Linked DNA regions of Daphnia pulex. The main gene of each other region encodes a partner of the protein of the gene in region 2 in a complex. Links are inferred from orthologs where the notes say so. Each region holds a gene or a part of one and is shown on either strand. Other genes may lie near its edges.

The links.
Region 1: the proteins of NADH dehydrogenase [ubiquinone] 1 beta subcomplex subunit 10-like (region 2) and uncharacterized protein LOC124205711 are in contact, whole or in part, in a cryo-EM structure (PDB 8BA0), measured with the Drosophila melanogaster proteins. The link is inferred for Daphnia pulex from reciprocal best matches to the Drosophila melanogaster genes ND-PDSW and NP15.6. Residues at the interface, in NP_651972.1 of Drosophila melanogaster: Trp40, His42, Gln43, Phe45, Thr50, Ile51, Asp52, Ala65, Phe69, Arg70, Arg71, Met74, Val75, Glu78, Ile79, Ile82, Leu83, Arg86, Ala112, Asn115, Trp116, Ile118, Lys119, Ala129, Tyr133, Gln136, Lys137, His138, Arg139, Leu140; in NP_650774.1 of Drosophila melanogaster: Gln101, Phe102, Arg103, Trp105, Ala106, Gln107, Arg108, Glu109, Gly110, Phe111, Leu112, Glu113, Leu114, Val125, Ser126, Pro127, Asn128, Tyr129, Val130, Asp131, Pro132, Ser134, Ile135, Thr136, Leu137, Pro138, Leu143, Glu147, Ile148, Ile149.

Annotation. Positions count from the first base shown.
Region 1 is NC_060026.1:15,898,511-15,901,440, forward strand, and holds uncharacterized protein LOC124205711, read left to right. Parts: upstream 1-1,547; 5' UTR 1,548-1,602; coding exon 1,603-1,788; intron 1,789-1,941; coding exon 1,942-2,075; intron 2,076-2,140; coding exon 2,141-2,291; 3' UTR 2,292-2,401; downstream 2,402-2,930. Other genes in the region: E3 ubiquitin-protein ligase Rnf220-like, read right to left, coding at 2,688-2,759, 2,829-2,903.
Region 2 is NC_060017.1:7,432,463-7,435,779, reverse strand, and holds NADH dehydrogenase [ubiquinone] 1 beta subcomplex subunit 10-like, read right to left. Parts: upstream 1,740-3,317; 5' UTR 1,606-1,739; coding exon 1,509-1,605; intron 1,419-1,508; coding exon 1,283-1,418; intron 1,219-1,282; coding exon 1,171-1,218; intron 1,109-1,170; coding exon 1,017-1,108; intron 952-1,016; coding exon 836-951; 3' UTR 724-835; downstream 1-723. Other genes in the region: uncharacterized protein LOC124197638, read left to right, coding at 239-562; 60S ribosomal protein L3-like, read left to right, coding at 2,205-2,207, 2,466-2,658, 2,764-2,932, 3,209-3,317.

The DNA.
Region 1 (2,930 bases), on a different chromosome or scaffold from region 2:
ATAAAGAATAGAGCTTTTAATTAAAAGTCAATAAGTGAACGATCACATCACGCATTACCTCAACGCCGCGGTACAGGTAGCAAGAGACGACATACCGACAAAATAAGCCCGACAGCCATCAGGCAACATTTGACTATTTCACCCAACTAATCAACACTGCACGGACACCAACATAGAAAAATGACACATTTAAGTGTGATGTTGAACTGCAAGTCTGCACAAGCTCCATTTCAGTGCATTTTTCAACTGGAAAATGACAGCAAAACCACTGTACCCCAAACAGCAACACCATAAACAGCTCAAACAACAAACTGACCATGGAAATCTACAAAGTAAAAGAACATAAATGAACCAATACAAATTTGAAATGTAAAAGAGATACCAAAAAGGATTTACTTGAAATGTACGCTAAACTAGAGAAAAACAAATAAAGATTACAAGTACCTTACACAATTTTTAAGCACTTATTTAGAAGCACAAAATGAGATGTCACTAGTCTTCGACATCAAGAACGAAATTCTAACCTTCTTTGCCACCTAGTGGAAACAATTTTACACACCGTGTCAGATTTCTTACGATAAAGGAACGACTGAACGGTCTATAGTTCAATGAACGAACGATACCAGAACACTGCAGTCTGCATGCAACAGCTCACCACATTGTTCACTAGCTGGTTGCACAGAATTCATGTACACATCGGACTGCAACAAAGAGGCTCAGACCTTTTAAGAAGCTGCTAATCCTACTTGGAGGGAAAACAACTCAATTACTACAAGAAAACAAATTGACATGTAACATAAGAAAATAACAGAAGCATAGTTAAACTAAGAAATCTCTAAGAATTTCTTTTAAAAACATTACAAAGGAATCAACAGTTGGCAAGCTTTTTGAACAGTCTTAACTGAAAAGTCAAAAGATATAAAGCAAAGAGCTAGTCATCAACAAAGTAAATGTGTAGTCTTACCGTAAAAAAGTTGATCAACTTAATTACTTTAGATTGTTTATAAGTGTTTCTGTATGTGACGAAAGCTACAAGCGTTACAGGTAGCAAGTCTGCAAGAGGAACACCTTTCACCAGCTGGCTGCAACAAATCACACTGCACAGCACATTGGACTGCAATGAAGAAGCTCAGACTTCACCATGCTGTTAATAGAAAAATAAAATCTCCATTAATATCAGAAACAAGGTCATCAAATGTTTAACCTTAAGGTTACACCAACATGATCATTTTTACTGTTGAGAAGTATTTCTACATGTGATGTGACGAAAGCACAGCAATAGACGACATTTTGGGAAACAGCAGTTTCAGGCCACATGATCAGATGGAAATAGTTGGCTTCTTTATTTGTTAATGCACAACACAAAAAATTTACACTTTTTATATTCTTAAAGAATACAAGTAGAAATTACCATTTTCAAGCGTTGTTCACTATGCAGAGTTGCAGACTAAACTGCCCCACTTTGAGACTTTGAGGAAAGTGTTACTCAATTTTGGCGCTAGGTGGCAGCAATATTACTTACAATTTTCGTCGTAAGGTGGCGAACACTGTTGTCGTCTGCAGCAGAAATTTTTCGTGTTCGTGAGAAATTTTCTGGTAAAAATGGCGTTCGTTGTTCGATCTGGAAGATTGGCAGGCCCTTTGAGGAATTATCTTCGACCTATCGCACTCGGCAATCGTTGTATTTCCACGTCCAAAAAGAAGGATGAAACAGCTGTAGTCACAGAAAAAATCCCGTCACACAAAGTTACCCACGACATCGACGTCGCTGCTGCTTCGGCAAGAAAGGTACTAGCAATAATTTTCTCGTATAATTCCTTGAATAGAAATGCAGAGTAGCAGCCTACAATACGTAAGAGATTAGTTGAAGGGCTGTCCTCAGATGGTTTCGATTTGCTCAGTTTCAGGAATTCTCATGTAATTTGTGACTTATTCTTTCAGAAATGGATGACCTATGGATTCACCACCCAGGACGAGACTGAGGATGTTGCACTAGCCCACCTTTTTTCATTATTCGGTATAACACTATGCATTGTCATCGGTTCACTGGCCTACATGTATGGGCCTGACCACGCGTAAGTCATCACACTGAAAATATTTCTCACTGTTTATGATTAACACAACATTGACATTGTTTCAGTTTGAGGGACTGGTCCCAGCGAGAAGCCTACCTGCTTGTTCGAGAAAGGGAGGCCAAGGGACTACCTCTGCTTGACCCCAACTACGTTGATGAATCCACCGTTGTGCTGCCATCAGAAGAAGATTTGGGTGATTACGAGATCATCATTTAAAAGTTGATTTAAAAACGTGAAACAAGACAAATTGTAGAGGATGCTTTGTGTATACAAATAAACCAACCAAAGGGTAGACTGAAACAAGTTCTACCTGGCATTGAAATGGAGACAAAGGAGAAAAACCAAATGATTGGAGGAAAGCACTGCGAGAAAGCCTACTATATTTACACATGAACAACAGAGAACACGCGTACATACGCACACCCAATCAAAATAAAGGAAACAATGTTGAGAGAGAGAGAAAAATGATGGAAGAAAAAGTTTCGGGGGAAAACAATGTTGGCCAAAAAAAAATCATAATTAAAGAGTTTAAATGTTGAATTTGAAAAAAAATTCTTCAGTGACTTATGAGAACCCAAAATAATTTGTTTTGACACCATCACATTAAGAAATTCACATGTAAATCCGTCTGAGGTGAGTCGGCGAGGTAATCAAATTGCATTGAGGGCAGAGTTTCTTGTTGCCCTGTTGAATTAATAAAATTTTCCAATTAAAAAAAATCAGTTGGTGACACTAAAGACAATCGAAATTTACCAATGCCTGAAGCCAACACTCTTCACAGTGAACGTGCCAACACGAAGTGGATACTACAGGCTGTCGATAATCGCCCTGCAATAATGAAATGAATTAGAAAAA
Region 2 (3,317 bases):
TTTCGGAAGACATCCACACACACACTAGTGAGTGTACTGTAGATCCTCTTTTCTTCGTAGAGTCTTCGTTCGGCTTTACTTATTCTATTATGAATAAGGGAAAAGATTCGTTAGAGAGTCTACGAATAGTTGATGGAGGGGCGAAAAGGGCTAAACGACCTGGATTCTCGTTTATTGAGATGGAACTCTTGGTATTTTCTAAGCATTTCTTCTTTTTTTTCCGGCGGATTATTTTTAGATGCACGTGCCCTATTGCGACTTGCTCACCATGGATCCTGGCCATTCGACAGCACACGGAGAATTCGATCGAGATCCTGATGTACCGCCGTTCCTGGCGGCCGGAGCGGGCGGAAGACCCAGTCCGATGTACATCAACAACGCGGAATCGGGACCCGGCATCCAGCAGGAGATGGACTGCACCTGTCAGATTCACTACGCCACCTACAACCGACCGAAAATGCGCAATAGCAATCACGTTGCCGGCATTCACAGAGCGTCCACCATGCCCCGCAAGGTGGCCTTCGAGGGGCTGGCCAACGTCTACCAACAGACGCCGTTGTGACAAATCGACGACAATTGACTCCCGAATCTCTCCCTCCCGCCGAATCGTCTTTTAACCTTTTGTGTGTGTATAACATGTGCTGTCCTCTCAATAAATGAACGGAAAAAAAATAATGATGAAGAAAGGTGTTTTCAAGTTATTTTTACCACGTCAATAAACCGTCTATGTAGATTCTCATTCTATTGTGTTTACATTGCGACCATTACAAAGATACAGTTCTATCCATTGAATAGAAAGCCATCTTTTTTTTTAATCTTTTCTTTTTAAAGGGGCTTATTCTTCAATCTTCATGCCGGTGCCGACTTTGCCGTGCCTTCTCTCCCACAGCATGCGATGCTTCTGCTTCATGTAGGCATCCTTGACGTTGTTGTAGGGACCAAGGTCTGCGTCTGCATTGCAAGGGAGGAGCATTAGAATCATTGCAAACTCATCGTAATTGAAATGATGCACTTACATTTCATGCAGAAACTTTCCGAAACTTTGTCAAATTCTTCCTTAAGCTTGGCACATTTTCTATCTTGATCTGGTATCTCATAAGCAATGCACCTAAAAGAATAATGAATATCAATGACCAAAGATTTAGAGTGTGGAAGGATTTATGAGCTTACTCCTTCAAGCGCTGACGAACAAGTTGAACAATCTCACCATCAACTAACCTGTAAAGACAAAAAATTGGTTAGTTCAAAGAGACATCCGTATAATTTCATATAGGTGGCATACTTGTCACGGTTGAATTGTTGCTGTGCCTCAAAGCGGCAGACAGGATCATCAGTGTAACACTGATCGATGGTTGGGACTCGTCGAAACTTTTGGTGGTAGTAAACATGGTCTGGTCGATTGGGGGTCACAACCGATTCTGTTCAATTACGAGAATTGTCAGGTGATTGATAAACAAACAATAACTGTACCGATACGACTCTGCATTATTGCTTTATTCCAATCTTACCTCGGAACCAAGTAACAGGACGATCAATAGTGTTTTGCACCGCATGGACGAATCGAAAGAATGGGTTATGAGCTGGTGCTCTTGGAGGATCTTCCATTTTAACTTAGGGTTATTAAGTAAATTATTGAATTCGAGTTTGAAATTGACGAAAAATTGCCTGTTTTTCTAAGGTTTTCGTGACAGACGACGAACTAGTCGGCCATACTTTCCGTCTCTCTATCAGCATTGCCATTTCAGAAATTCCGTTAATCGAGAATTCAGATTTTCAGAATCATTTTTGAATTTCTTTTTGAATTAGAATCGAAAATGATTTCGCAGTCCAAATGAAATAGAAATAAAGTGGGGCACGAAGGGAATCCGATCTAATGAGTCAGCGTTGTGCAAACTTGAATAGGCTGGAAAGCAAAATCGTTAAAATGCTAGAATTATTAGAAAATCACTTTTTAATTCCATGTTGTAAAAGAAAAAAATATTTTAGGTTACTAACAATTCAAAATTCAGTTAACAATACAAGTTATTTGTTTTAATCATAATTTAATTTCAAGCGGGTGGCGGCGGCTGGCGGCAGCTGTAAAAAGTTGGGTGAATTTCAAAGACGAGTTGGCAATGCTGGTTACTGCATGAGGCAAAACTATATATATATGTACCGGTGTGCTGGTTACTTTCCTGTACATCTCTTTCCGGCATTCTAAAGCAATGGTAAGTCAGTGCTCACTTAAAAGAAATATTTTATCTTTAAACATCGAGCGTATTAAACTTTTGATTCACGTAAATTGTTGATATTGTATTTGGCAAAAGTTCAATGTGCTGTTAGACTTTAATATGTGTCAAGAAATGTGAATTTTTTACTAGAATTTTAATCTTGTTGAAGCATTGTTTTCGTCGAGTGGAATTTTTATTAGTACAATTGTAATTTATTATGGTTTCGTTTTATTAATTCATGCTTTGTAATTACAGTCTCACCGGAAATTTAGCGCGCCTCGCCATGGCTCCATGGGATTCTACCCCAAGAAGCGTTGTCGCTCACATCGTGGTCGCGTAAAGTCCTTCCCCCATGATGATCCCAAGAAACCTATCCACTTGACTGCTTTCTTGGCTTACAAAGCTGGCATGACCCATATTGTTCGTGAATGCGACAAACCTGGCTCAAGTAAGTTTCGTTACCTGTCAAATTTCACTTAGGAACATGCTGAAAAACTACTCGCAAAGCTGACATATCAATGGCAGAGACTAATTTCTCTTTCTCAAACTGTAGAGGTCAACAAGAAGGAAGTTGTTGAGGCGGTTACCATCTTGGAAACACCACCAATGGTCATCGTGGGCATTGTTGGTTATGTTGCTACCCCCAAAGGTCTTCGTGCTTTGAAAACTGTCTGGGCCGAACATATCGGCGAGGACTGCCGTCGTCGTTTCTACAAGAACTGGTACTTGACTTTTCTTGCCTGGTCTTAAGATGGTCAAGTGATGATTTAATATGGTTCCTGAGCTAAATGCCTGAAGACAGACTTTGCTTGAACTAGGGCGAACTGATGACTATCTAAGACCTTTTCAAATAGTAAATGCTCATTAATACTCCAGCTCCTCTGACCAAGTGTCCATGAGCTTCACATCCAATTGGGTCTACAGTCTCCGCTCAGTTTTTAACTGATGAGGCTTGTGCCCATGAAGGATTCTTTTTACCACGGTATCTTATCTTGAAGGTACAAATCCAAGAAGAAGGCTTTCACCAAGGCTTCAAAGAAGTGGCAAGATGACTTGGGCAAGAAAGTCATTGAAAAGGAGCTGAGGGCCATGAAACGTTACTGCAAA